7 linked regions of the Ovis aries genome follow. The protein of the gene in region 1 purifies or fractionates together with the protein of each later gene. This does not show direct contact. Links are inferred from orthologs where the notes say so. Each region holds a gene or a part of one and is shown in the gene's direction. Other genes may lie near its edges.

The links.
Region 2: the proteins of CSNK1D (region 1) and GAPVD1 purify together in Homo sapiens (affinity purification with mass spectrometry; 5 studies listed by BioGRID and IntAct, counting the BioPlex papers as one, with this or other methods). This does not show direct contact. The link is inferred for Ovis aries from reciprocal best matches to the Homo sapiens genes CSNK1D and GAPVD1.
Region 3: the proteins of CSNK1D (region 1) and VPS13B purify together in Homo sapiens (affinity purification with mass spectrometry; 3 studies listed by BioGRID and IntAct, counting the BioPlex papers as one, with this or other methods). This does not show direct contact. The link is inferred for Ovis aries from reciprocal best matches to the Homo sapiens genes CSNK1D and VPS13B.
Region 4: the proteins of CSNK1D (region 1) and FAM83H purify together in Homo sapiens (co-immunoprecipitation; 5 studies listed by BioGRID and IntAct, counting the BioPlex papers as one, with this or other methods). This does not show direct contact. The link is inferred for Ovis aries from reciprocal best matches to the Homo sapiens genes CSNK1D and FAM83H.
Region 5: the proteins of CSNK1D (region 1) and BYSL purify together in Homo sapiens (affinity purification with mass spectrometry; 3 studies listed by BioGRID and IntAct, with this or other methods). This does not show direct contact. The link is inferred for Ovis aries from reciprocal best matches to the Homo sapiens genes CSNK1D and BYSL.
Region 6: the proteins of CSNK1D (region 1) and FAM83D purify together in Homo sapiens (affinity purification with mass spectrometry; 4 studies listed by BioGRID and IntAct, counting the BioPlex papers as one, with this or other methods). This does not show direct contact. The link is inferred for Ovis aries from reciprocal best matches to the Homo sapiens genes CSNK1D and FAM83D.
Region 7: the proteins of CSNK1D (region 1) and FAM110B purify together in Homo sapiens (affinity purification with mass spectrometry; 3 studies listed by BioGRID and IntAct, counting the BioPlex papers as one, with this or other methods). This does not show direct contact. The link is inferred for Ovis aries from reciprocal best matches to the Homo sapiens genes CSNK1D and FAM110B.

Annotation. Positions count from the first base shown.
Region 1 is NC_056064.1:50,100,967-50,105,291, forward strand, and holds the start of CSNK1D (casein kinase I), read left to right. Parts: upstream 1-1,442; 5' UTR 1,443-1,496; coding exon 1,497-1,572; intron 1,573-4,325. UniProt on the Homo sapiens protein: Essential serine/threonine-protein kinase that regulates diverse cellular growth and survival processes including Wnt signaling, DNA repair and circadian rhythms. It can phosphorylate a large number of proteins.
Region 2 is NC_056056.1:10,762,899-10,767,052, reverse strand, and holds the start of GAPVD1 (GTPase-activating protein and VPS9 domain-containing protein 1), read left to right. Parts: upstream 1-1,307; 5' UTR 1,308-1,463; intron 1,464-1,970; exon of another isoform or gene 1,971-2,111; intron 2,112-4,154. UniProt on the Homo sapiens protein: Acts both as a GTPase-activating protein (GAP) and a guanine nucleotide exchange factor (GEF), and participates in various processes such as endocytosis, insulin receptor internalization or LC2A4/GLUT4 trafficking.
Region 3 is NC_056062.1:77,433,132-77,436,782, reverse strand, and holds part of VPS13B (intermembrane lipid transfer protein VPS13B), read left to right. Parts: coding exon 1-148; intron 149-821; coding exon 822-1,023; intron 1,024-2,135; coding exon 2,136-2,324; intron 2,325-3,651. UniProt on the Homo sapiens protein: Mediates the transfer of lipids between membranes at organelle contact sites. Binds phosphatidylinositol 3-phosphate. Functions as a tethering factor in the slow endocytic recycling pathway, to assist traffic between early and recycling endosomes.
Region 4 is NC_056062.1:13,979,675-13,983,781, forward strand, and holds the start of FAM83H (protein FAM83H), read left to right. Parts: upstream 1-1,246; 5' UTR 1,247-1,335; coding exon 1,336-1,479; intron 1,480-2,715; coding exon of another isoform or gene 2,716-2,791; exon of another isoform or gene 2,792-2,864; intron 2,865-4,107. Other genes in the region: IQANK1 (IQ motif and ankyrin repeat domain-containing protein 1), read right to left, coding at 2,716-2,791. UniProt on the Homo sapiens protein: May play a major role in the structural organization and calcification of developing enamel. May play a role in keratin cytoskeleton disassembly by recruiting CSNK1A1 to keratin filaments. Thereby, it may regulate epithelial cell migration.
Region 5 is NC_056073.1:15,721,052-15,725,405, forward strand, and holds the start of BYSL (bystin), read left to right. Parts: upstream 1-1,434; 5' UTR 1,435-1,593; intron 1,594-1,776; 5' UTR 1,777-1,780; coding exon 1,781-2,048; intron 2,049-4,354. Other genes in the region: MED20 (mediator of RNA polymerase II transcription subunit 20), read right to left, coding at 1,225-1,238. UniProt on the Homo sapiens protein: Required for processing of 20S pre-rRNA precursor and biogenesis of 40S ribosomal subunits. May be required for trophinin-dependent regulation of cell adhesion during implantation of human embryos.
Region 6 is NC_056066.1:67,743,122-67,747,046, forward strand, and holds the end of FAM83D (protein FAM83D), read left to right. Parts: intron 1-1,938; coding exon 1,939-2,917; 3' UTR 2,918-3,379; downstream 3,380-3,925.
Region 7 is NC_056062.1:37,290,136-37,294,403, forward strand, and holds the start of FAM110B (protein FAM110B), read left to right. Parts: upstream 1-1,321; 5' UTR 1,322-1,573; intron 1,574-4,268. UniProt on the Homo sapiens protein: May be involved in tumor progression.

The DNA of each region.
Region 1 (4,325 bases):
CACTACTATGTAACATTCAGGAACTGATGCTTGCTCCTCCAACCTGACCACCAATAGTGTTCAAACGGGCTGCACTACTGTGGCAGAGTGGTGGAGAGGGAAGACTTGAGAATGGAGAGACCAGGCAGTTTCCTCCTCTGCAACTAGAGATGATGATCCAGAATCAACAGCCTGTGCAGCTATCTCACTCACACCTCTATGTAACCCCTGTGCTCAGAGTAGTATGTCTGTTGGCTGTCCAAAAATATGCAATAACAGCTTGTTCATGGTTCCTTCTTTTTGGTTGGGGTAGGAGATAGGCCGAGAGAAGAATCCAGGTGAAACTCATTTCCTTTTGGTTCAGGGGCCTCTCTGAAGAGCCAAAGCAGATTAAATGAAAACGGAGATCCAGTTTCCAGGAGACAGAACTGGAGAGGCAGGCGATGCAGGTCTCATCCTCTGAACCACGGTAACGTCAGCTTCACCTTTCAGTCTGACGCCAGAGGTCCTAGGACTGCTCCTCCTTCCGACAGAGGCTTGAGCTTGCTGTCGGCCCTTGAGCCTGCTGTAGGCCCGGGGCTTGGCTCATAGGGTGGGAGGGGAACTGCACAGTGCACGCCCTGGCCAGCCCAAGAAACCTGTGCACACTTGTGTCCCGGCCTGTGTCACTTCCTGCAGGCACCTGTGCAGGGAAGGGCGTCCCCACACCCACCACCCCAGCCGCCGAGAGTCCCAAAGGCGTGGGTCTGGGGCCTGGAGAGACAGGCTGTCCCCTCTCTCCCTCCGGCAAAGGGCAGTGCCTGGAAGCCTGTCCCATGCCTGTCGCGAGGAGACGCTGGCTTCCCAGACACCTGCGGGGACAAACGAAGTCCCTGCGAGAGCACGTGGATCCTGCATGCGGAAAGGGACCAGGCAGGGGGCTCTCGGCCAGGGACTGCTGGACGGGGGTGGGCAGGGGGCAAGGAAAGGGGAGGACTGAGACACCCGTGAGTCGCGACTACGCGACACAGCACTGGCTCCAGGCCCAGCCCTCACCCAGGCTCTCTCCCGAGGCCCCGGCCGCGCCCCTAACCCCGCCCCTAGCCCTGCCCCTAGGCTGCGCGGTCTCGCCGCCTGCCCCTCCGCCCGAAGCCGCGGCCCCGCCCCTCGGCCAGCACAGCCCCGCCCCACTGGGTTGCTAGGGGAAGTGACGTCACAGCGCGATGGCGGCGGCTCCTTCAGGCAGCTGAAGGGAGATTTAGGCCCGGGAGATCCGAGTCCATCCGCGGCGGGGAGAGGGCGAGCGGGGCCGGCGGGGGCCGGGACAGGGGCGGCGGCGCTCGAACTGTCTCATCCGCCCCGTATTGAGGCGCTGGGAGCGGCGGGGCGACCGAAAAGCGATGGTGAAAGCGGGGCCGTGAGGGGGGCGGAGCCGGCAGCCGGACCCGCAGTAGCGGCAGCAGCGGCGCCGCCTCCCCGAGCTCAGACCCAGGAAGCGGCCGGGAGGGCAGGAGTAAACCGGTCCCGCCGCCGCCGTCATGGAGCTTAGAGTGGGGAACAGGTACCGGCTGGGCCGGAAGATCGGCAGCGGCTCCTTCGGAGACATCTATCTCGGTGAGGCGCCCCTCCCCCCGGCGCGGGCCACCCCAAACCGGCGTCCGCCGGCCCCGGTTCCGCTCCGGCCTCCGCCCCGGCGACCCCGCCCCCGACGACTCGAACCCCAGGCCCGACCCTCTTCGCCGCGGGCGGTGAGCCGGGTCCCCGCTGGTTCGGATCTCCCAGCTCCCCAGGCAGGAACTTCTGGCCTTTTTGACCCTCGCCCCTCCACCCCACCACCCCACTCCGAGGGCACCTGCTTAACCTGAGCTCGCGGCCTCTGAGCAGTGGCCGGGAGCCTCGGTTAGGCCCTCGCTGCCCGCTCTGCCTGCCCCGCCTGGTGTCCGCTCCCAGTGGCCCCCCCAGGCAGACAAAGGCCGTCGGCTAGTGCGGCTCCCACGTCCTACGCCCGTGCGGCGGGCACGAGAAGAGTCCGGGGCTGGCCGAGGCTTCCTCGGCGCTCCTCGTGACGGTGCGGCCTCAGCTGACCAGCCCCTCTGGCTCGGAGCCTGGGTCGTAGACCGCAGGTGGCGCACAGGGTCGCCTGGGGGCCAGTCGAGTGGTCGTAGAGAACATGTTGCGCATCCAAGTTCCGTACTAGGTACCTCGGCTTAATCGAGAATGACATTCAGGTGATTCTGGACAAAGTCAGCGTTAGGGTGTTGGCAGACTTAGAGGCAAATAAAGTGGCAAAGCTCTACTCATTAGCTTACCCTTTTGCTATGAAAATTCTTCCAGGTAGACGAGGGGAAAGATTAGAACGTTCCGGATGGCTTCAGATTTCCAGTGAAAGAAAGCGCATATACATGTGTGTAATAAAAGGTGGTCTTGAGTCTTACAGTTGAAAGTTTAAAAATACCTTATTGGGTTTTCCCAAAGGAATAATTGTATATAAGTTACTCCTACCCCTGCGTGTGCAGAGGGACTCTCATTGCGCAAGTTTGGGGGTAAACATGCTCTGTGCTTGCGCAGCCCGCTCTGGTGTTTTTGTTTGGCTGGTGTCAGGGAGGGTCAGGAATAGCTTCGTTTGTCAGTAATGCTTCTGGGTTATGCCTTTCAGATGGTCCCAAGTCCGTGTGCTCACTGCCCCATCCTTGGCTATAGTTCCCAAAAGGATGCACAACCTCCTGGGCTGACAGTGTAAGAGGAATCAGCACTTAGGGGAGTTCCTAACTGTTTTTGGTACCCTTACCATACAGGGAAACCTGTCACATCCGTGTGTGCTGTACTGCCCTGCTGAGTAGAATACACTTTAGAGACACTTGGGTTTTGCTGTTTAAATATTTATGTCCGGTAGTCAGCAGTTGCCTTCTCAGCAGTGTTTTGGGAGGCAAAGTGCTGGGTAAATGCATGCTGTTTGCCTTATTTATAGAACAATAGATTTTGGCAAAAGTTTTAACCTAGGATCTAGGAGCCATACTGAAAAGCCAATCCATTAGCCACCTTTACACTGATAGGAAAAAGTCAGTGTTTTGAAACTTTGTGTTCTCTGGTCTGAAACCTTGCCAGACAGCCCTCTGCTTTCCAAAACTTTGTTCAGTCAGAGTGTGGAACACTGTCACCAGGTCATTCACAAAGAAGTTGAGAGTTTTGCAGGAGACCCTGTAGGCTTATTCACAAGTGTGTCCTTTGGGCCTCACCTTGTTCTGGACACACCAGTGGTGCTTGATACAGATCATCATGCTGACTGGTCCCAGAGGGATCTGTCTTCAGTTTTCTCCTTCACATTTATCCTAAGATGGATTGACTGTGCCTCTTGAGCGCTAGTTATGAGTACCCACATGGCCCAGCCATTGGAGTACACTTAGAGTTACTTGTGTGCAGTTGGATACAACCAGTTATTTTCATCAGCCTTGGCTCTTGGCACCATGTAGTGGTGGCTTCAGGCTACATGCTACCTCACTGAGAAAAATGTGACATGGTCTTGTTAGATTGAGATGTGACTGGAAAAGTGGGTCAGAGGTGGTTCAGTCGCTAAGTCGTGTCTGACTCTTTGTGACCCTGTGGATTGCAGCACCAGGCTCTCTGTCCTCCACTATATCCCAGAGTTTGCTCAGAATCATGTCCATTGAATTGGTGATGCCATCGAACCATCTTACCCTCTGCTGCACCCCGTTCTTTTGCCTTTAGTCTTTCCCAGCATCAGGGTGTTTTCCAGTGAGTTGGGTCTTCACATCAGGTGGCCAAAGTATTGGAGCTTCAGCATCAGTCCTTCCAATGAATATTCAGGGTTGATTTCTTTTAGGATTGACTGGTTTAATCTCCTTGCAGTCCAAGGGACTCTCAAGAGTCTTCTCTAGCACCACCATTCGAAAGCATCAATTCTTCAGCTCTCAGTCTTTATGGTCCAAGGACCATGGGATGTATTGAGTCATCTGTACCACTGTTGTTTCTGGGTTTGTTGGTTTTTTTTTTTTTTCCCCATTTTTTAGGCAATTAATTAGTCATTAGTTGAGGAATGAGGAATTTGGTTCTCATCTTAAAATTATGTCCCACAAATTATAGTATGATGACAATTAAAAGTTGTTCCAATTGCTGTCACTTTGCTATAGGTCAGATCACTCTGGACGACTCCTCCTCCACCTTGCTTTGAGTGTGGGGTTTGGGGTCTTCTTGGACTTTGTAGCGCTTTCAGATGTTTGAAGCTGAGGGTTAAGAGCTGTCCTTCAGCTTGCTAAATGCCTTATGAACCAAGAAGGCCCAGAGCTGGCCTCCCTTCCCAGCAGCCTGCTGTGCTGACATGCGCACTCAGCACAGTGCCCTGCAGTTTG
Region 2 (4,154 bases), on another chromosome or scaffold:
TCAGGCATTGGAGAAGGAAATGGCAACCCACTCCAGTGTTCTTGCCTGGAGAATCCCAGGGACAGGGGAGCCTGGTGGGCTGCTGTCTATGGGGTCGCTCAGAGTCCGACACGACTGAAGTGACTTAGCAGCAGCAGCAGCTACCATCTGAACCACAAAGGAAGCCTCTGGTTGGTTTGGACAATGTTTTATAATAGAGCTGTGGAATAATCTCTAATCGAATTCTTGAGTCAGTTGAATGGCAATATGATAGCAATAATACCTGACGAGCTTACCACGGAATGCTCTTGTGATTAAAAAAAAAAAAAGGCAATAAATCCGAGGCAAATTTTGACAATTTCTAAAGATACTACATCAAGAATATGGAAAGCAGTCTGGGAGCTGAATCATATTTAAGTTGTTGCAAAACTGACAATTATCACTTTTTTTTTTTTTTGGTCTGGAGACGCCTAGTGTTGGAGGATATAATTATTGTGTTCAAGTTTTTGAAAGACTATCAAGGGGAAAATATTCTATATTGCTGTAAGCAGCATAACTACTAGCAGTGGAAGGAAGTAAAAGGGAAATAGATTTTGGTTCAGCAGGAGAACTTTCTAACATTAAACGCTGCCCAACAGTTGAGCAGGCTGTCTTACTTAAGGAAGTGAGCGCTCTGAAATTTGAACTGTTGAAATAGAAGTCGGACGCCTATCTGGAGGGAGTGTACAAGAGGGAATTCATGCCCGGGGGGAAGTTGGACTAATGACTTTTAAGGTGTCTTCCAATTCTAAGGTTTATAGGAGTGTTCAGTTAACCTGACATTTGAATCTATGTGAATTGTTATTTTTAAAAGATTGTATTAAATAAATAGTCAATCGACCTAAAAACTGTATGGTCAAGTTTACAGTATGTAAAATTTGATAAACATAGTGGGAAATCAGGTTTAAGACTGAAAACCTAGGTGTCATTAAAGGCAATTAGTGACACTTTTAACAGAAAGTAGGAAGAAAGAGCCATATGGGTTTCGAATGATGTGTTCAGGCCAAGTGACACTTGTCACCTAAAACATAAATGCTATAAATTGTTTTACTTTACACATGCTCAGACGGATTTTTTAACATTCAGCGGTACCGTACGCGAGAGCAAGAGCGGGTCTTTGGCTAACAAGTCTCCGGAAGCCCTTTCGCGGTTACCCAGCCGCGGAAGACCGCTCCAGCCCGCGGCGGACTCGGGGGTGGGGGGTGGGGGGTAAAAGCGGAAGAGGCGCCGCTGGCCGCGGGTCCGAACTACCAGTCCCAGAGGTCCCCGCGGCTCTGCGCAAGCGCGATGACTTGGCGGCAGCGCCGCCGCAGGACGCAGGGAAGCCAACTAGCGAGTGGCGGCGGCGGGGGCAGCGGCCGTGGCAGTTCGCGGCGAGGGGACGGCTCCGAGGCCGAGTGACGGTCCGACGCAGACCTCGGTGCCCTCTCCGCATGATCTTCTCGGTAAGTGCACGTCCCGGATCACCCCGCGCCCAGTGCGCGGGCTCCTTGCCTGGCGGCGGTGCTGCTCCGGCCTAGGGCCGCAGCCTGCGCCTGACGGCGGGCCACCGGGTGCAGCTAACCCCTGGGCCCTGGGCCCTTCCCTCCAGCGAGGGGAGACGTGGGGCCGGGGGCACACGATTCGGTCCAGAGGGGAGAGGAGGCGGCGCGCAGGGGACCAGGCAGCCTGGGGCGGACAAGAGGGAGGGACGCGTGGGGGATGGGATGGGAAGGGAGAAACAGAGGCGAGCGACCTGGCAGCTGGAGAACTGAGAATGGGAGGCGAGAAGGTGCAATATCCTCTGAGAGCCGCTGGTGAAGATGTCTTGGTTCGGAGACTCTTGACAAGCTGGACTCAACGGTCTGGGGGTGGAGGGGCAGCCCACCTACCAGAAACATACACACCATACTTGGCATCTTTCCACTTCCTGTTGGAGGTCTGTAAATAAGAAGCTGTCGGTTGCTTCCACCGCCTTTCCTTCAACTTCGTCTTTCATTGACTGGCAAAATTTTAAACGGGTGCTGGCTAAGCAAAGCAGAGAAATAAACAGGTAGTTCTGTCTGTAAATCTGCGTAAAAACAGGGAGGCGTGGTGGTCCGTTCAGACGAGAGGTAAGTCAAAGGAGAACTCAGTGTTTTAATTTTAAAATTTGTGCTAAAAATCAGTTTGAGCGAGGCTTTAAACTAGAAAGGATTTTAAACCTGGGATTCACCATTTGGTGGTTAGAATTCAGGAGCTCCTTGAACTAGAATGAGAACAAAACACGTCTTTATTATCTGATAACTGTATTGTCATTATAAGCAACAAACCACAGTAGAGTTAGCAATGCCTGTGACTTTGTCACCAACATAAATAATAGATATTTTTGTGTCTTGTTTACAGTTGTTGCAGGTATCTTAAAATATCATTTATGGTACACTCCAGTAAAACATTTTTAAAGTATCATTTATGCTTATAATTTCTTTGGATTATGGTATTATCAGACCCACTGTTAGACCTTGTTATTTGATAATAAAGGTACACATATATTAAAATATCAGGTTTTTTTTTTTTCATTCTTTTGCTAATAGTTCAGTATAATTAGTTTCTTTTGTGGTCGCATATAGTTAATTATGCATTTAAAAAGCAATCTGAGAAGGGGGTCCATAGGCTTCACCAGACTACCAGAGACCCATGGCTCAAAAAGACTTAAGAATTTCTGAAGCAGAAATAAGTTTTGGGGATCTGTAAGTTGGCTTGCAAGAATATTTGGATCATTAGATAAGAAAAAAGTCAAAGCAGATAGGACAATAGTGTAGATGAAAGAGGGAATTTTTGTAATCGGGGAAATAAAAAAATCTGACTGTAATCAGAGTAATAGTTTTGAAAAAGAGTATTGACCACAGATATTTCACTCAAGGTACTGAGGAATCAACAAAATAATCTGAGGAAGAAAGGGAAGTGAGTACTTTGGCCCTTAGATTTTTGTGTGAAGGCACCTCCTGGTTCTAAGTGATTGAAGGAATTGAGCCCTCCAAACTCTTATATAAGTCTGTGAAAGAAAATTTTAGTGTGTGCTGTTTTTCTTTAAGTCATGTAGGCAGTGTGACTTCTAAAGGGGGGTAGGATATTCTAATTTTTCTATCTTTTTTGGGATGCGGGGTGGTGGGCCACACCGTGAGGATTGTGGGATCTTAGTTCTGTGACCAGGGATCAAACACGGACCTGTGAGAGCACTGACTGCCAGGGAATTCCCCAGACTAATTTTTCTATCATTAAATGAAAACTGCAGGATCTCTCTTCGAGTGTGTTTTCCTGTTGCTGTTCTTTTCATACATGACAGAAAGTAAACGTACAGCTTAGAGTTGAAGAGTTACTAAGTCTTTTTCTTGAAATTTCATTTAAAATTCTTGTAGTTCAGCTGCTTTTTGGCCTCAGACTTCTCACTGACAAATCACTCTTAACATTTTTTCAGAATATGTGTGACTGGAAGTTTGCACCTGTTTGTAAACACCTGTCAGCATCTTGTGTGAAATATTGTCCCCTCTAAAATAATATCTATAATGAAAAACCAGTGCAGCAGACTCTTTTCTGAAATAGATGTTGGTGCTGAAATAGTTTGTGTTGACTTAAACACACTGTGTTACAAATCACTGCCTTGGGGAGGTCTTGCCATATACTTTCTGTGTCCTTACACTGCCTCTTTCATCATTCTTTCTCCCCTGCCCCTTTATTTTATTTATAGCATGTACCTATCTGGCATCATATTATTTGTATATTTGTATATATTTATACCTAAAAGATCAAGAGAATTTAGATTGGAGCTACTACTACTAAATGGGACAGTGGAGATTGGGGAGTGCTGTGTGGATATGTCCTTTGAACTGGACATTCAGTCGTAGATGTGATTAGCTACAGGGATACTGGAGAAAGGCCTCGGGTACAGGGAACAATTTGAACAAAGACAAGGACAGAGAAGTTTGTAAATCAAATAAACATCTAAGTCAACAGCTCACCGCCACCTCCCTCCCATCCATCCATCCATCCATCCAGTGCGTTAGGTCTGTAAAAGGAAAAATGGAAGAAAAGATTATGTATAAAGGCAGTTTGGGATGAACAAAGGCTGAGAAGTCTAGGCTCCCCATGAGAGTGTGTGACCATTTGCCTCCAGATGG
Region 3 (3,651 bases), on another chromosome or scaffold:
GTGCTGTTCCCATCTCAACATCCCTCATTAAGCAGATAGCCACTAAGATACACCCCGAAGGCACAGTCACTCAGATACTTGATGAGTTCTACGGGCCAGAGAAGTTCCTTCAACCCACGTGGCCCTATAATAAAAAGGACTCTGACAGGTAAGGTGCTTCCCTGATAGCTCAGTTGGTAAAGAATCTGCCTGCAATGCAGGAGACCCTGGTTTGATTCCTGGGTCAGGAAGATCCCCTGGAGAAGGGATAGGCTAGCCACTCCAGTATTCTTGGGCTTCTCTTGTGGCTCAGCTGGTAAAGAATCTGCCTGCAATGCAGGAGACCTAGGTTCAATCCCTGGGTTGGGAAGATCCCTTGGAGAAGGGAAATGCTACCCACTCCAGTATTCTGGCCTGGAGAATGCCATGAACTGTATAGTCCATGGGGTCACAAAAAAGTCGGACATGACTGAACAACTTTCATTTAAACTTTTCACTTTTTGACTGTTTTTCTATGAACATTTCTCAATATTAAATGAATGAACGTTCACAAAAATGTTAGATTCCCCAGAAAACATTTTAAAAAAGAAAATGTTTGCACCTATCTGTCACATTCTGACCTTTTATCTCCTAGTAGATGTATTCTGTAAATTGCTTCGTTCTTAATCTAGAACATAATTCCATGAAAAGTTTCTTCCTCCTGGATGCAAATTTGGCATTTCATGACTCTGATGTGAAGAGGTACCATAGGAACGTTGTGTGTCTGGAATTCTTAAACACATTTCATGAGTCCTGAAGTCATTATGTTTCATTGAGTCTTTTGGATGTGGTATTTGGCACAGGAATGAGCAACTGAGCCAGTGGGACAGCCCAATGCGAGTGAAGCTGTCAGCCTGGAAGCCATATGTGAGGACCTTATTGATAGAATTGCTACCCTGGGCCCTGCTTATCAATCAGTCCAAGTGGGACCTCTGGCTGTTTGAGGGAGAGAAGATTGTTCTACAGGTTCCTGCTGGCAAAATTATTATCCCTCCTAATTTTCAGGTACTATAACTCTTTTTTTAAACTAGTAGGAATTCTTTTCTTTCAACAACCATCTTTTATTCTGAGGTTACATTTATGTTCTTAACAGACTCAATCAGTTGTGGAAAACTGTCCTCCTAGATGCATATGTAAGGGGTATGGAATGTTCTTTGATATTCAAAGACATCTCAGATGTCTTTTTTTTCCCCACCCATCAGCAGTATTCACGCTTGAGTTATCATTAAATTCGATAACTTGTACTAGTTGCATTCTCATTTCCATTCCTCAACAGGATGTTTGACAAGTATTAGGACTGCTCTACTCAGGATATGTTAAGAAAATAGAGCTGTATGCTGTGCTAAGCTACCCTCTAGATGTTTTTGTAGTTTTTATAGAAACTCTCATAGATTTGCAAGATGAATAAGAAGATTTCTGAACAGCCTTTTTTGTCAGGCCCCTTTTCCTTTATAAGTGGACTTGCCTGTCCATAATCTTGGATGCCCACCTGTTATTGATAACAACATAGAATCATTACTAACAAGGGGGAAAAAAATCTGGTTGTAAAACAGAACTTCATAGGAAGATTTTATATTTCATCACAAGAGAACTTTCTTGATAAGGCTAGCCCAGTTCCAAGAAAGCATATAAATCTGTAAGAGAATAGGGTACATGGAATTCCTAAATAAAATGTTTTTCTGATATGGAACAATTTGAGAGTCCTTTTCTTTTAGCTCCAGTTTATAAACATCTTTATTCAATTGCATTTTTTCTTTTTAAAAAAAATAATCATATGATGTTACCTTATAGAATCGGAATGTTGACCTGCATGTACCTAATATTGCATATTATTCTTTTATCAAATAAAATGAAACCTTCAGTTTCTAAGCCTTTGGTATTTATAGGGTAGTCCCAGTTTGGGTTGATGTTTTTTCCCTCCTTCCATAAATACAAATTCCACTGTGATTCAAAGAAGGCATTGGGAAGTGAAATAAAAGGTATGTTGCCATTACCAAAAAAAAGTAAAAAGGATGTGGTTGCCTAGGTAGACCTATAGTAGAAAAAATTCCTATGAATTGAGGTAAAAATATCAAAGTTAAGAAAACTGTTTTATAATTGAGGCATTATTTTTCCAGGAAGCTTTTCAAATTGGAATATACTGGGCAAATACGAACACTGTGCACAAGTCAGTCGCCATTAAACTGGCCCACAACCTGACCTCTCCAAAGTGGAAAGATGGAGGCAATGGTGAAGTTGTGTCTTTGGACGAAGAAGGGTTTGTTCATGCTGAAATAAGACTTGGTGCTTTCCCAGGACATCAGAAGGTAGGGTCAAAGCCTCTCAAAGTCTGCTTGGCTCTTGGCTGGGATGGGGAGTAGTAGGGGGTCAGGGTGGAGCTGGGAATAACATGCCATCCCCTCAACTTGTTTAAAATGAGCCTTCCCTTTTCTTTTCTAATCCCTTTTTAGTATTATATGTTCCAAACAGTTTATAATAGTGCAACACATGATTTCTTAGACCTTTCTGTTTTACAGGGTTTCTTTTTTCCTTTCCTTTACCAGTGATAAAAGCTGTGTCACATAATTTATCCAATAACCACTCTATTTCAGAACACTCAGCAGTCACTTGATTTATCGTATGTGGAGGGAAAAAAAGAACTTATTCCAAAATATCCACAAATTGTACTTGGCCTCCTCATTTTAGAGCAGGAAGTAGAGTTGCTAACATTCTGGGTTTTGAGTGAAAGGACAGAGGCTCCTGCAAGAAAGGTTATATTCCTGGAAAGGGTATCCTGAGTGAAAGGATGTAGGTTGATCTGATTCTCCCATAGAACCAACGTTTTAAGAGGGAGTTGATTCTTTACATACATATATATATATAAAGATGCTAATGCTGGAAAAGACGGAAGGCAAAAGGTGAAGGGAGTGGTAGAGGATGAGATGGTTAGATAGCATCACTGACTCAATGGACCTGAACTTAAGCAAACTCCGGGAGATAGTAGAGGACAGAGGAGCCTGATGTGCTGCAGTCCATGGAGTCACAAAGAGTCAAAAATGATTTCGTGACTGTACAACAACAATTTATTTATTTTTGGATGTCCTAGGTGTTCGTTGCTGAGCGAGCTTTTCTCTTGTTGCAGCAAGCTGGGGCTGCTCTCTCATTGTGGTGCAGGGGCTTCTCATTGTGGTGGCTTCTCTTGTTGAGGAGCATGGGTTCTAGGGTGCTCAGGCTTCAGTAGTTGCAGCACATGGCTCAGGAGTTGTGGCTCCCCACCTCTGGAGCACAGGCTCAACAGTTGGGCACAAGCCTAGTTGCTCCGAGGCATGTGGGATCTTCCCAGACCAGAGATCAAACCAGTGTATCTTCAGACCAGAGATCAAACCAGTGTGTCTTGCATTGGCAGACAGATTCTTTACCACTGAGCCATGAGAAAAGCTCTGGGAGTAGTGTTCTTGAACAGGGATCTGGTACCCATGTTTATGAAGATAAACGCCAAAAAAAGATGCATAAATCAGTTACTTAAATATAAGTGGTATGTGCTTTCAACATGAATCTTTTCTAAGTAGTATATGAAGGCCAGTTAAGCTGAATAATAGACTAACGAATCACATTAAACTACAGCACCATAGTATACCATCTAGAAATCTCATG
Region 4 (4,107 bases), on another chromosome or scaffold:
TGGCCCCTGTGGGCAGAACCGCCGGACCCCCAATCAGGACGTCCTCACGAGCTCAGGGCAGCTCAGGGCAGCTCAGGGCAGGCCGGCCTCTTCCTTACTGCCCCACGTCAGTCCACTAAATGCTATCTGGGCCTTCCAACGTCCAGTCTCTTCCACCAGTCCCTGCCCGCGCCACCCTCCCACCCCCATCCCGCCCCCAGCCCCCAGTGGAAGTCTCCCTCAGAGGGGGCAGTGGGTCCATCAACTGCACAGGACGCCCCGTCCCCCGCAGCTCCCCGCGCCCGCCAGGTGGGCTTCTCCCCCCATACTGGCTGGGGGCTGGGGCCAGGGGCTCCTGTGGCAGTCAGGTTAGAGCAGTCTGTAACCAGTAAGCACCCTGCCTGGATGGTTGGCGCGGCCCGGGTCGCGGCTCCGAGCCCTGTGGGCTGCAGCTGGAGTTTCCCGGGAGCAGGAGAGGACGGGGTGGGACGGGGTGGGGGGGCACTGGTGCCCGCCCAAGGCAGGACCAGACGCGTCCCGACACACAGCCTGCAGTCTGGCTGCCGAGTCGCCTCCTCTGGTTTCTCTCAGTCTCCCTCCCAGTCTGGCCGAAGAGGCCTGTGCCCCAGCAGCCCTGCGCCGTGTCAGCGCGTTAGTCAGCCTCGCGCCGGGTGAGCAACCGCGCCGCCAAGTCCCTATAAACTCCCTGGCGTGGCCCAGCCCGCGGAGTGGGTCTGTGAGGCCCACAGACAGAGCCCGGGTCAGCGCCTCAGCCGGGGTGCCAGCCCAGGGGAAGGGCAGACACGAGGGGCCGCAGGAGCGGAGGGCCCACCGTGGCCTCTCAGGGGAGCCCCCTGGGCCCGCCTGACTGAGGCTGGCCAGCAGATGAGTCGGGGCCCCCGAGGAGCAGACACCTGGTAAAACAGGCGCCAGATTGGGGGCATGTCTGGCAAACGAAGTAGAGCTCGCAAACCCCGGCCCAGGAGGGCGGGCAGGGCAAAGAAGGCCATGGGGCAGCAGGGCCCTGAGGCCAGGCCCCCGCCCCCCGCCCCAGGCTGCCTGGGGGACGAGGCGGGGGTGGCCCCCGCAGGGCACGTGACCAGCAGCAAGCTGGCTCCCCGGGGGCACCCCAAGGTGGCCAGACCAGAGCGGCCACAGGGAGCCGAGAGGCCGGAGCAGGCCGCTGCTGTGGGGTCCGAGCTGGTGCTGGTGCCCGCTGCGGACATGGAGGGCTACGGGGTGGGCGGCCTGGTGCCAGGCCTGGGCCCGGAGCTGCTGAGGCTCCACGAGGTCGAGCTGTGCTTGGCCCAGGAGCAGCTGCTGCTGGAGGACCGGCGTCGGCAGGCCCAGCTGCACATGCGGCTGTGGCAGGAGGAGCAGCTGTGGCTGCAGCAGCTCCAGGAGCAGCAGGCCTGGGTGCGCGTGGAGGGGCTGGAGCTAGCCCTGGCCTTGGAGCAGCTCCGCAGCGAGGGCCTTGAGGCGCTGCAGACCCAAGACCCGGTAAGGCCTGGAGGGAACTGGGGTGGAGGAGGCTAACCATCCCGGGGGTGTGGCGACCGTGGCAACACCCATGGCACATCTGTGGCCCAAAGTGAGGGTGGTGCCCACTGCACGGGGCACTGCAAGGACCACTCAACAGGAAGCCCTCCCAGGCTGGCCCGATGCTAGAAGGCAGAGGGAGCCCAGGCGGGGACTGTTCAGGGAAACTGAGGCAGACGTGTCTCTGCAGAGCACCCAGGCATCCTGGCCCGGTGGGCCGGGGCAGGAACTGTCCAGCACAGTGTTTGGGACATGTGGGGTGAGGGCCGGGTCCCGAGCCCAGCTGGACAGTCAGCAGGCAGGACCAGCATCCCCTCCCCCGCCTGACACAGCTTCCTGGCCACCTGCCCGGCCTGCTGTTTATTGCAGAGCCTGTTCCCAGGGCTTGAGATGAGATGGCGGAAGCCACCTGAGCCATCATCCTCATTCCAGGAGCACTGCTGCCTCAGACGCAGCTGGGGCTATTTTGGGGAGCTAGGGTCTAACCCAGGTTGGCGAGGAAGAGTGGGCACTACCATCCTGCCAGGTCTGGGGATCTGGGAGGCCTCTGGGGTCCAGGCCCGCTCAAGCAGGGGGGCTGCAGCTGGGGAACAGGGTGTGGGGCTCCCCTACCAAGCACAAACCCCAGTACAGGCCTGTGCGTGGGGAGGACCCCTAGCTGCAGCCTAGAAGGTGTTGGCAGCCTAGCAAAGAACTCAGATAGTGCTGTGACAGAAGAAATGGGATTCAGAGAAGAGTGACCGTGGGTCAGGGTAGACATGGGAGGAGATGCACTTCCTAGCCCATGGCGGGACTGAGCCAAGGGCAAGCTGTCACCTTTCAGCCTGGAAGTGGCTAAAGAGAGCATGGCCTGAGGGAGCAGCAGCCAAGGAAAAGCACAGTAGGGCCTCGGTGGTGAAGAGGGCCAGAGGGGACCACACACCGTCTGAGAGTCCCCACCGTGGGTTGAAGCCCTGCTGTTTCAGAACCTATATTCAGTCCCCACAGGCCTGCTGCCTGTCTCCACGTGTCCTAAAGTTATGCTGTGAACACTGTCCTCGGGACCCCAACCCCAGGGGTACAGTCCCAGGGTCAGAATCTTGAAGGGACATCTGAGCTCTGACTCCTCTGTCTCAGGGAAGGCTCCTGGGCGGCTGCACAGCAGGTGTCGCAAGTCAGAGTCTGAGCCAGGCTGGAGGTCAGAGGGGTCACACTCACCGGCAGGGGCCCGTGGCTTGGCTCTAGGGAAGGACTTCCCTGGCGCAGCTCTGAGTGCCCCCTTCTTACTGCTCATTCTCCTGGGTGAGGGGAAGGTCAGGAGGGTGTGCTCAGAGTGGCAGAGACAGTGGGGACAGCATCACATGGACCTGCAGGAACAGACAGCAGGTGCCGAACTGGGGAACACAGGATCACCCCCAATGTAGCTTCCTGCCGGCTTCCTTGTCCCCCCACCTGCCCCTGGTTCTTGGCTTATGTGTGCCCAGTAGCTTGGGTGGGAATGCTTGGCAAGAACATCTGGCCACAGCTTATCCCCCTTGCCCTCACGTCCCTGCCCCCTCAGCCTGGCTCACCCATCCTTACCCCAGGATTGAAGTCTGGTACCCATCTCCCAGCTTCAGACCACTGGGCTTAGCCAGCTTTGTCCTAAACAGCAGCCTGAGACGACCTGGCCTTGCAGAAGCCTCTGTGCCCACACTGCCCCCAGCCCTCCCCCCACACCCCACCCCTCTCTCGTCTTGGCCTTGATAGGAGATGTTGTCGGGGCCCAGGAACAACACCTCTCTCCCTGGCCTACTCGGCTGACCACCAGACTCATTTCCCCAGGGGGGCCTCACCTGCCCCAGGCTGTGTCGCTGCCCCCTCCCCTGCAGCACTGCTGCCTGGGTGCTGCCTGAGCGCACACCTGTGTTCCCACCGTGGATGTCACTGAGCGTTTGGGGAAGGAGCAAATGCAACTGGGAATGACCCTGAAAGTTGGGAGAAAGTGACTGGAGACGGGCTGAAAGATGGATGGGCACTGTGGCGGGGGAGGGAGAGAGCTTGAGGTGGGAGGGCAGCGGCAGGTGCTGCCATGGGCTTGGGCAAATGGTCAAGGGCTGGGCAGGGCCTGCGTCGTGTAAGGGCCCCTCAGAGAGGGTCTGATGGGGAACTGGGGTTCTGAGGAGGAATCTGAAGTGTTTGTGGGGGAGGCTGGGGGACTGGGGCAGCTAAGGAAGGGAGTGTGTGTATGAGTGCCTGCACACAAGTGTGGCGGGAGTGTGCGGGGCTCAGGGACTTGCAGAGCCCCCAGTTTCTGAGGGACTCTGGGTGCTCATATAGCTGCCTGTATGTTGTAGGGTTCTGTGGGGGATGGCCCTGCTTGCGTGCAGAGTCTGTGCAGCAGAGCGTCCTGTATGCATGGACGCGGGCGTGCGCCTAAATACAGCAGGTGCAGGCCTCCATGTGCTTGTAGGGTCCTGTATGGACCTGGGTTTCTATGTGCATCGGGAGCGGAGGGTCCCATGTAAGCGGGGGTCAGTGTGTGTGTGTGTGGAGTCCCTTGTGTGTGCAGGTCCCTATGTGCCTGTACAGTCCCTGTCCACAGGTGTGTGCTACATGTGTGTGGGTGTG
Region 5 (4,354 bases), on another chromosome or scaffold:
AAGAGAATCCCTAAGGTGATGCTACTGGGGTCAGAAGTCCTAGAAGCCTGAAAAAGTTGCGAAGCATCCCAAGAGAGAGCCCTTTCCCTGCTTGCCTTCTGCCCTGAGAGAACAGGTACTTCCAGGGTTTCACGCCTCTTTGCAGCATGCTTTTTTTTTTTTTTGGTTGCGCCACAAGGCATACAGGATCTAATTCCCCAATCAGGGATTGAACCCATGCCCCTTGAAGTAGAAGGTGCCTCCTGCAGTGGAAGCGTGGAATGTTAACCACTGGACTGTCATGAAAGACCCTAGCAAACTTTTCATTCCCATTCTTCGCACCCTTCTTACACTACAGGACTTTGAAGGAGGCTCATGATGCCAGCTTCAGGAAGCAAATGTGCAGTCACTGACAAATCTGCAAGACCTGGGCTACCAGGAATTCCCACAGGCTCTTACATGAGAAGCCTAGAGCCATTGCCTTCAGATAACCTGGCCTCTAAGCCCTCTCTGGGAGAGATGCTCAAGATATATATATTTTAAAGCTCTGAAATCTAGCATTTTGGAACTAAATGACTCGAAGAGAATTAAGCCCATACCTTTCCCTGCCACACTGACTTATAACGTGTTAAAATAAGTCCATAAAAACTAAACCAACCAGGTAATTAAACAGAATAGGAAACAGACCCTGAAGAGGTGATGTGCCTGTAATTCCTATCTCCTAATTCCCAACAGCTCCTTTTTTCCCTCCAGACTCAAGATCTTACAAAGGCCAAACTAGAACCAGACACATGCTGATCTAACTGCATTTAGTGGCTGTAAGGAGGGGCAGGCAAAAACCTAAAAAAGATACTATCTCCTTGTTGCCTATCCCCTACCCATCCAAGCCCTGCCTGCAGACGGGTCCGAGTCCCGACATACTACTTTCAACCCTAAAGTTCTACCCCAGGCTTCACGGTCAAGAAATTGTATCAAGAAAAAAGGAAGGAGGTACACGATCATTAACGGGTTCTTAAACCCTTTTTCCTGCCGCCTTCCAGGAAGAAGGGGCGAATCTCCGAGGAAAGGGGCCTGCAGATTCTGCAGCCCTCGCGGTGGCCCCCTCACTTACACAATCCGAGGACATTTTGCTCATCTTCCGGGGGACTGTGGACCCTGGTCGGGATCCTCCTCCCGGGTATATTCGAGGCTCCAGGGGCCTTCAAGTCCCCAAACCCCGCCCCACAAAGTCCTCTGAAGTCCTACCAAGTCACTCCCATGGTGTCGTGCCAGGAAGATGGGAGGATCAAACAAGTGAAATGCGCTGTGCTCCAGCAGCCCACAAGAGGAGAAACCACCTCGCTAAAGCGAGCTCCAATGGAGGCAGGCGCTCCGGAACTTACGTAAAAACACAGCGTCCAGTCGACACGCCCACGAGGAAGGGCGTGTCTGGGTCCTTCGGTGAGGTCACTGCCCGACTCCGCCCCGCCCCCGATCCCCTGGTTCGCCGGTCAGGGAATTCCCATTCGCCTGGGCACCCTGGACCCAGATCCATGAAACTAGGAAAGTGTATCTCGGACTACAACCACTTAGAGAAGACAACGTTAAATTCGGGAGGACCCAGCTCCAGGACCCGTGAGCTCTTTTTGGGGGGGGGGGGGGGTGGGACGGGGCTTCTGGCACACCCGGCCTCCAGACGCGAGGGGGCGCTGTGAGCTCCGGTGGGCTCTCGGGCGCTGGGTGTTTACCGCGCAAGCGCACTCGGGGCCTTTTTTTCCTCCATACCCACGTGGGAAACTTCACGGCTTGGTTTTCTAGAAAAATGCCCAAGTTCAAGGCGGCCCGCTCGGCCGGGGGTCAGGAGAAGCATGCGCCGCTGGCCGAGCAGATCCTGGCTGGTGACGCGGTGCGGGCAGGAGCCCGAGAAAAACGGCGGGGTCGCGGAACCGGAGACGAGGAGGAAGAGTACGTGGGGCCCCGGCTGACCCGACGGATTTTGCAGCAAGCGCGGCAGCAGCAAGAGGAGCTCGAGGCCGAGCATGGGAGCGGGGACAGGCCCGCGGTGCCGCGGGAGCGCACCACGCGGCTGGGTGAGTGGGGGGGATGGGGTACGAGGAGGAGGGTGGGTAGCTGGGGCGGACGGCTGAAAGGTGTCTGGCAGGGGAATAACTTGGAATTAAAAAACAACAACAACAAAAAACTGAGGCCCTTGGCAAAGGTAATGGGGTTGGGAGACCCAGCTCTGGGGCAGATTGAGGGTTGCCGGAGCCCTCCACGCCCATTCCTTAGAGTGGCACTCTTATAGGCATCACCGAGGTTAGGCCAGCAGGAAGTGGTTACTCACGCCGCTAAGTTCTCCTGGCATTTATTTACGTGTTTTGTAAGTAATCATGGAATGTCTACTACGCACATCCCGCCGTGCTAGGAGTTTAGATGGTTTAGATAAAAAACTGTAAACAGGGTAAAGGTATACCTAACGTCAGGATCTTCCAGTGTAGCCCGAGAGAAAGAATTAAGTAAGCAATTAGAATAATGCACTCGTGATAAAGTATAGCTTCTCTGACAATAGCATTAGTCTTGGGAGTCAGGTTTCCCAGGTTGCATGACCGTTGTGCTGAGAACTGAAAAGTAGGGAGTGCTCTGAGCACAAAGAACAATATTGTTTCAGGACTAGAAAGGGAGCGAGATTATTTAAAAGATGGTCATTTTTCTCGTTATTACTCTGAGAGTGTTGACCTCCAAGTTGCTTAATCCATTTCTCAACACTCATCTTTCATTTGTCTGTGAGCAGCATTCACAAACGGAGAAGGCAATGACAGCCCACTCCAGTACTCTTGCCTGGAAAATCCCATGGACGGAGGAGCCTGGTGGGCTGCAGTCCATGGGGTCTCTAAGAGTCGGACACGGCTGAGCGACTTCACTTTCACTTTTCACTTTCATGCATTGGACAAGCAAATGGCAACCCAGTCCAGTGTTTTTGCCTGGAGAATCCCAGGGGTGGGGGAGCCTGGTGGGCTGCCGTCTGTGGGGTCGCACAGAGTCAGACACGACTGAAGCGACTTAGCAGCAGCAGCGTTCACAAACACTAGCCTCCTTGCTACAGTATCTTTACTCCGCTTCTAAGACATCACATCCCTGTTTTGCTAGTTTTTCACCTCAGTGGGCTTCCCAGGTGGTGGAACCCACCTGCCAATGCAAGAGATGTTGGTTCAATCCCTGAGCCAGGAAGATCCCCTGGAGAAGGAAATGGCAACCCACTCCAGTATTCTTACCTGGAGAATCCCATGGACAGGGGAGCCTGACAGGCTATAGTCAGGAAAAGTCCACAGGGTCACAAAGAGTCAGACACGACTGAGTACACGCACACACCTCTCAGTATCCTTTGCTGGCTCCTATTCTCCCGCTTCCGACGCCTGCTGGTGGGATCTCAGTTCCCCTACCAGGGGTTGAACCCTGAGCCCCAGCAGTGAAAGCCCAGAATCCTTACACTAGGCCACCAGGGAGCTCCCTTTGCTGACTTCTCGTTTGTTGCCAGCCTCTTCCTGTAGTGCCACAGCATTACATCCTTGGAGCTAGTCTCTTCACCTCTGATGACTTCCCTGGTGCTGTCATCAGGGTTGAGGTTTAAATACTGTCTGTTTGGTAACTGCTTCCAAGTTCATATTCCAGCCTCGATCTCTTCCATGAAACCCAAAGTCTTATATTTCAGCTCTCTCTTTAGCTTCTCCAATTTGAAGTCTAAGAAACATCTCAGATTTAGCATGTCCAGAACAGAAATCCTGACCATCTTGCCAAACCTGCTCCACTCCCAGTCTGCTTCATCTCAATTAATGACATGATGTCCTTCCATTTGCTCCAGGCAGAAAACTCTAGACTTGTCTCTTTCTCGCTCCATATCCAATCAATTAGGAAGTCCTGTTGACTCTGCCTTAAAAATATATCCAGAATCAGATCAGTTGGCACCATCTTGGAACACCATCCTGTTCAAACCACAGTGATCTCTCACCTGGGTGACTGCAGTAGCCTCTTACCGAGAATCCCGTATCTGCCACAGTCTACTCTCCACTCAGCAACTCAGGATTGCCTGATCTACAGAGACCTATATGATCTGTACCTGTTGTCAGTCTGACCTCTCCTGCTCCTTTCCCTTTGCCCTCTTCTCTCCATCCGGGTCAAACCAGCTAGTTCTAAAAGAGATCAGTCCTGAATATTCACTGGAAGGACTGGTGCTGAAGCTGAAGCTCCAGTACTTTGGCCACCTGATGCGAAGAGCTGACTCATTGGAAAAGACTGATGCTGGGAAAGATTGAATGCAGGAGGAGAAGGGGACGAGAGAGGATGAGATGGTTGGATGGTGTCATCAACTCAAGTCCATCCATATAGGCTTCATTGCTCC
Region 6 (3,925 bases), on another chromosome or scaffold:
TCTTCTGGTTTCAACCAGTCTGGGATCTATGTTCTTGCAGTCAGCAGTTTTCATATGGAGGGTTTCTGCTTCCTGTAGAAACAATTTGGGATGTTTGTCAGGCCTTTATCTCTATCTTTCAGGGAACTAGGAGTTCCGTGATTCTGCTCTGTGGCAGATTTATAGTCTAAATTGTTACCAGTTCCCCAGCTCAACAGTTCTTTGTTGCTACATCTTCACATTTCCCAACCATTAACTCTTAAGTTGGCATTTTACTTCAAAAGACAAGGACACAGTGGCTCCAACAACTACCTCCTAAAAATGAAATATGCTTCCATTGAGGATGAGGATAAGGATAGGTTTCATTTGCTGAGGACTTTTTTAATCCTGGTGCTGGATAAGGTGCTTGTTTATATGATCTTACTGATGGTTTTCAAAAGGATCTTTCTTCTCCAGCTCTGAAGGCAGTTGTCACATGGTGAATTTGCTTTAGCCTGGGTTCTTGGTTACAAGAGACAGAGTTGCTACTATGTTTTATGATTTCTTCTGTAAACACCCTACTCCTGATACAAATTTTTCTGAGTCAGTGGGGTGATTGCATTGGTACAGAAAGCTGGCTCAAACTACTTTATGCAAAATGGAATTTACTGTCTCATCTAACTTGAAAAAGGTACCGTTGGTTTTCAGCTCATCTTGACCTAGGGGCCATGCATTTATCAGAGCACCATGTCCTATTTCTGCTTTTTTCTAGTTGATTTCTTTTTTTTTTTTTCCGGCTGTGCTGGGACTTCGTTGCCACAGATGGGGTTTCCCTAGTTGCGGTGAGTGGGGACAACTCTTCATTGCAGTGTGTGGGCTTCTCACTGTGGTGGCTTCTCTTGTTGGAGAGAAGGGATTCACCTGCTCCATGGCACAGGGGATCTTCCCGGACCAGGGATTGAACCCATGTCCCTGCATTGGCAGGCAGATTCTTAAATCACTGGACTACCAGCGAAGTCCTCTCATGGATCTTTATTTAGTCAGGTTTTCTGCTTGCAGACAGAGGTCCAGGCTCCCTTCATGTGAACTTCAGTAGCTATTTATAAAAGTGAGAGACTTCCTCTCTCTCCCTCTCTGATGGTATCATGCCTTGCAAAATTCCTTGGCTCTCACTGGCTTACCACCCACCCTGCGTAGATCCCCTCATCTAAGGGGTGGGATACTCTGGCCAGCCTGGGTCACCTGCCCAGCCCTGCTGTACCTGGAGAGGGTGCCTCCAGGCAGCTGGCTGGGCTAGCATGAGTGGGGCCCTGTCACCATAGGAAGGAGGCGGCACACTGAACTGCCAGGGGTGCGCGGCCTCTAATCAGCTCTGCACGTGTGTTGAGCAACAGTGTCATCATTCGAATGTCAGGCCTGTTTCCTCTGTGGAAACAGCAGCGTGGGCGAGGTAGTGAGGAGCAATGCCCCTGTGGTTCTCAAGGCCTGGGGCCCAGTCTAGGCTCTACCACGAGCTTCCCCTGGGACATCGCTAGGCACGTACCTCACTCCTCAAAGGAGGGCGCTGCCCTCAGCATCTTAGGAGCCCTTTCTAGTTTTTAGCAACTCTGAGGCCAAGGATCATACATTTTAGCCTTTTGGTTGAATACTGGTCTTTTTATTTTTTAATCTTTTGGCTGAGCCCTCTAGCACGTGGGATCTCAGTTCCCTGACCAAGAATCCAACATGTGCCCCCTGCAATGGGAGGTTGAGTTTCAACCACTGGACTGCCAGGGAAGTCCCTTTTTGACTTCAATGTTAACATATTCCTAGGTTATATCCTGTGTTAAGGCTAGCTGGAATTCACACTGCATGGTAGGGTGCTGTCACCTGAATTGTGACTCTTATGTCACAGGATGTTTGGGCTTTATAATCAGGTTGACGGTAAGTAGATGAAGATCAATCATCCTTATCAACTTCTGTTTGTTTCTAATCCTGCAGTTTTACATGGACGGATGGCAAACTAAACAGCAGCAACTTGGTGATTCTGTCTGGCCAAGTGGTTGAACACTTTGACCTGGAGTTCCGAATCCTCTATGCACAGTCAAAGCCCATCAGCTCCAAGCTCCTGTCCAGCTTCCGGATCAGCGGCAGGTTTGACCATCTTGTCGAACAGAAACCGCTGTCCAAGGAGCTCACGCTGGGCAACCTGCTGCGGCTGCGGCTGGCCAGGCTCTCGAGCACTCCCCGGAAGGCCGAGCTGGGTGGAGAGGAGGGCCGGGCTGAGGCTGGGTGCGGGGCCTCCAAGGCCTCCACCATCAGCGAGGAGGACTACTTCAGCAGCCGCAGGGACAGGCTGGAGGGCAGGAGGGCAACTGATGCCGCTACTCAGACAGAGCCCGGAGAGGAGACGCCTGCTGTGATCACAAGTGACGTGGGGACACAAGCCAGCGCGGCCACAACGTGCGCCGGGACCCAGACCACAGTGGCCACCAGGGTGGTGAGCTCCCAAACCGTGGTCCCCACCACATCAGCCACCACCCAGACTGACGTGGACGAGGGTGTTCTCGCCTCTCCCGGAAGCCAGTCTAAGGAAGGGTCACCAGTATCAAAGATGTCTGTGTCGCGCTCTTCCAGTTTGAGGTCCTCCTCCTCTCTGTCCTCCCAAGGCTCTGTGGCCAGTTCCATCGGCTCCCAGACTTCCTTCAGATCCACTGACTTTGCCACGCCTGGACACCCCAAGTACTGGAGCACCCCCCACTTCGATCTGTGCTTCAGAGACTCATTCAGAAACTTGAATAAAGAGAGACAGTTTCACTTTGCTGGGATCAGGTCCCGGCTCAACCACATGCTGGCCATGCTTTCAAGAAAAACATTCCTTACCGAAAACTACCTCGGTTTTAATTCTGGAAGTTTTGCCAGATCATCCGCTAACTTGCTGGCGGTTAGAGAAATCATGCTTTATCCATCCTATCAGTGACGGCTCTACGCATTCAGAGCTCCTGGCCTCAAACAGGCTTGCAGTAGATGTCACTGGAGCATCCCACTTTGCGGAATGTCTCCTGTCCTCATTGCCTTTCCTTCACTCTGATTTTCTTTGAATTCGATGAACTGCATAGTATTTTATGTGCTTTATCTTTATTTTTATCATGTATAAACCCAGTCTTGGTTTTATGGTTTAAACACTATGGGTACAGCTTCTTTGCACAGTTTTAATATGGATAGCTCTTCAAGAGAATGTTTCAGGGTTCTCAGGTAATTCAGGTAAGAGGTTAAATATGTTGCATTTTTAGACTTATGTGCTCATATTAGAGGTTTGAATTGCTAGTTTTCATGATCAAAATCCTGTTCAGGAAAAAACCTCAAAACTCTTGTTTCTTAGGTGTGTCCCTTTTTGAGGATATCTGTGTTCTTAGCATTAAATGGATGTAAAAAAATCTTGTTTGGTGGTTGCTCGTGTCTTTTTTTTTTTCCTTCTTCTCTGGCATTTTTCTGTTTAACTCTAGGAATGTGTTACAAGTAAACGCACCTCATAGCTATTTATGCATTTGTTTTTTAATAGTCTTGGGTGGAAAAGTAGATGACCGAAATTATAAAAGAAAATATTTAAGTTAGATGACATCAAAAAAGTGTCAGGGTCACACCTTCTCTAGAGATATAAATATCTATGTCACTAGCTCTACAGTTTGAATGAGAAAACTTGCCAGCAATCTCAGGTCTCTTCATGTGCTCTGGGTTGTCTTTTTCAGAGAAAAAGCTGTTTAGACAAAGACTTTAGTTCTGTGCTTCTCTGCCCGAGAAGGCCTCCGTGTGCATCCTGGATTCACCCTGATATTAACTGTAGTGGCCTCATGGGCCTAATTTCATCAGATGGGTGTATTGGCAATGATTTAGCAATCGGATATCCTGCAGTAGGGGCGAAAGAGGGCAGTGACAATTATCCCAGATTCCTAGTCCAGTGGCAGGCAATGCGACTAGTTTCTACACC
Region 7 (4,268 bases), on another chromosome or scaffold:
ATGAAACAAGAGTCACATAATTCAAATATAGATGATCCTCCTGAGAAAACAGGATGAATGCAACTGCATTTCAAATGTGCTAAAGATATAAAATAAAATTTTGCTACATATTTTAGAGAAGTAATTATGTTGTGAACTCATATCTCATTCAAAATCAACCATTTTGATAAATACAGGTTTTCTCTTTTAGCATTCCCAATAGTAAACGCTAAACAAGAATGGGTTTAATCTTCCTAAAACAATAAAACCCTCAAAACCCCAACCAAGTTATTAGGCAAATCAAAAGAAAAAGCATTACCAAACCATGCATTATGAGATAAATAAGGATGCACCCGGAAATAATTACTTAATTTATAAACATCAGTTGGTCTATACTCTAGGGTTAGTACATGGTACCCGAAGATTTTTTTCCTATATTCTCTAATGTCTTCTTCAAATCTCTTTTGGAGTCTCAAAAATACCTTCAGCATGTATGTGGAACCTAAAAAAATGGTATGGATGATCTTATTTACAAAGCAGAGACAAAGACGCAGATGTAGAGAACAAAAGTATGGACACCAATGGGGAAAAGGGTGGGTGGCATGAATTGGGAGACCGGGGTTGACATATACACATTACTGATAGTAGGTATAAAATAGATAACTAATGAGAACCTACTGTATAGCACAGAGAACTCTACTTAGTGCTTTGTGGTGACCTATATGGGAAGGAAATCCAAAAAAGAGGAGATTTACGTATACCTATAGCTGATTCACCTTGCTGTAGAGCAGAAACTGATACATTATGAAGAAACTACGTATTGAGGTCTTCCCAGGTGGCTCAGTGGGAAGGAATCCACCTGCCAATGCAGGAGACACAGGAGATGCAACTATGCTCAAATAAAAATTAAATTTAAAAAAAAGCAAAACAAAACCAACCAACCAACAAACCAAAAAAAAAAAAAAAAAAGCCTTCAGAAATTTAGTTTACAAATATTGAGAGGGTGTATCTGAGTAGATGAAAGTTAGTCAATAGAAAATGTTGTCAGGCACCGACATCTAGGTAGGTGGACTGGCGAGTTCTCACACTCACAGAACAGGCTCCAGGTTTGGGGTTTCCTGGCAGTTAAGATCCAGCGCTTCTCGAACCTGCAGGGAGTCGGGGGCCAATGCGGGAGCGCTTTGGAGGCGGGGCGGGGGGTGCGATAGGAGTGAGGGGTGGGGTGATCTGGGGGAGGTGCTAGGAGGGGGGGGGGTTGCAGGAGGGGTGGGGCCGGGGGCGGGGCGCCCGGGGGCGTGCACACCGGCGGGGACACGCGCTCCCGGCCGCGGCAACTCGCTCCAAGTTCCCTCCCTCGCTCCCTGGCGCTGGCAGTCAGAGTCCTCCCACTCGGCTCAGACCGAGCCGCCGCGGCCGCCGCCAGCTCGGCCCCCCGCTGCCTCGCGCCCCGGACCCCGCGGCCTTCCCAGTCCCTCGCTCTACCCTCCGGTGGCCCCGGCGGCCCGGCCCTCGTCCCTCGCGGGCCTCGACAATTTTGCCTGCCGTCCCCGGAGCCCGGTGCCCGGCTCGAACTGCACAGAGGAGCGCGGACGAGGTAAGGCTGGGCCGGGGGCCGAGTTGAGGGGCAGCGCCGCGCCCCGATCGCTCACAACGCCGAAGCTGCGCGCGGCCGCCGAGCAGCCGGGTCCGCCCCTGCAGCTCCCGCCCAGCCTGGGTCTCGGTTTAACGGGGCGCGCGGGCCGCGTGGCCCAGACCGACCCCGGCCGGTGTTCCGGGCCACGAGCTCGCCGCGCGCCGGGGGTAGGCGGGAGGCCGGAGCGGGGGCCCGGCGAGCTGGGCGCGCGGGTAGGGGCTCCGCCCGGGACCCCCTCTGCCAGGGCCCCCTCGCGCGGCCTCTCATCTCTGGTCCTGAGTACTTTGCGAGAATCGGTCTCTTTTCCTCGTGGGCTGGGAATTCCTGCAAGATATGCAGATTCCGAGGCCCCGAAAGTTTGGTTTGGGGGACCCCCTCGGGCTCCATTCGTGGTCTCAATTGTCTGGACTTTATTTGAAAGCGTTCAGATCTGAAATGGAATTAAGAGACCCCTGGCGCGCTGGCGCCCCATCACCCCGCGGAGCTGGGAGCCCGGCCGCCGAGCGCGCTGCCTGGTCCACGGGCTCTGCTGGTGGTGGTGGGGACCCAGGCGGTGACAGCTCTCCCTCCGTGCGGGGTGCAGGCCGGGGAGGGAAGCGAGGAACTTCATCGTGAGCTCAAATCCCTCTGCAAAGCGGAAAGCGAGCACCTGATGTCCGGTTTTTTACCCCTTGAGAGTTGGTGTTCAGCTTTATTGAGCCACAAAAAGTAAGCAGGCTTTCTTTCTCGCCCGAGACAGGAGCTAACTTTGCGTTTTTCCTGCCGGCCACGTCCTATTCACAACCTGGCACACATCTGTAATAACACTGCGTGGCTGGTATGGTCAGGGCTGCGCGCTGGTCTGATTCTGAGGAGGCAGATAGTAGAGTAAGCATTTTTTGCAGTATAAATAGTAAATGACTGTGAACGACTTCCATTTTCTTCATTTCCCCTGTTGGAGCTCAAGTTATTTATTTAGCCTTTTCCTTCCAATTTACACTTAGAGTCGTTCCATGGAAAATACCCGAATTAACTTGTACTTATTTTGCGACGTCACCACTCCTAGTCATTCCAATGAGCTATTTATTAAGTACAGTTATTCTGACATAAGGGTGAGTTAATGGTAAGCCAGCCTTCTTCCTTGAGTTAACACTCCATCGTCTTGCCCTATGGTATTTAATCTGTGCCATTACTATAGATGGTATTTTGACAACCTGATAAGCTGTAAAGAGCTTAGCATCGTGCCCTCCGGGACATGGTGCTAGGGAAGTGTCAGCTGGTTTTATTTATAATTTTTATTATCAGTCCATATGTTTTTTTTCTCTATGGAAAATGGTTGTTTTGTTTTAATCCCCGATCTTTTAATTTATGGTCTGTTTTATGTCTGCGGTTTAGTTTTAGATCAGGATTGAGGTTGGGTTGTTGTTTTGCTTATGACAGGCTGTTGTGTGTGTTCTTATACATGAGATATAGCAGATCTCAGAATGAGAACACAGTTCTGTACATGCTCATATGCAGGCACACTTCATGAGACCTCATTGTCCTTAAGGGCCTCCTTGTCTAGGGAGAAGCCTAGACATAAGGAGAAACCTGGGCTCTGAGCCTCATCCTTTAGAATCATACTTTCAATTCCTTGTGGCTGCTAGCACAGCAGTTAGGTGGTTCGCACTGTGTCAAAAGGTAATAAAAGATAAATATATGTACCCTTTATACTTACATCAGCCAGAACACATAATTCTTATCTGTGCTTTAAAATCTGCAGAGTGTATAGTGTAACTAGCAAAGAAAAATTAAAGTGGCTTAATGATCATGTGTTCGTAACAGAAAGGTGATGTCTGTTACCTAGACATTTGAAAAGATTGTTAGGAGTTAACCCTCATTTTGAGGTTTCCCCCCTCCTCATCACTTTTAATTTTGAAGTGACATCTTTTTCATTCCTAAACAGTTTTCTTAGCTAAGTCAAGGCTCGGTGTTAACTCGTGGGGCCCTGCAGAGCTGGGCTGCTGTGGGGACCATGTGGCGGTAGATGGTGCTATGACCGGTGCTGGTGGACTGACATGTGTGATCCAGTGGAATTGGAGGAGGGATTCCTTTCTCAGTTTTGTTTCTCGTCCTCTCCCCAAAATACACTCTTTCTGCATTGATACCTTCTAACAATCTTCTTAGGAATAGACTTTTAAGAAAAGTTTGTTCTTTGCATTTTCAGCTTTTTACGACTATCCTCTCTGAAGAAGTCCAGGTGTTAAGAATAATTCCAGGTATTCCAGATGTTAAACATTGTTGGCCAAAATTTGATTTAGTTGACTGTACCCTAGACTCTTCTTTTCTCCTAACAGAGGAAGATTGATCATTCTGAGCCTAGAGGATCTCTCAGCAAACCTGGGCTTTTTTCTTTTTCTCCTCAACACTCAACTCCTAGGAGAGAAAAACAAATAAGAAACCTACTCACTTCTTGACTTTAAGACAGCCACTTAATAGGGTGAATTCTCGTGTATTCTGGTTTTTACCGTCATTCTACCACTCCATACAATGCTGCAAGAATTGAAATTCAGGCTGAAGCCTCTGGAGCTCTGCAAAGGCATGACTCATCCACAAAAAATATATTCACTCCACTTAGTACAGCACCGAGCAGAGGAGGTAGTGCAGGAACAAGGGGGTTCTGGATTGTAATGAGGAT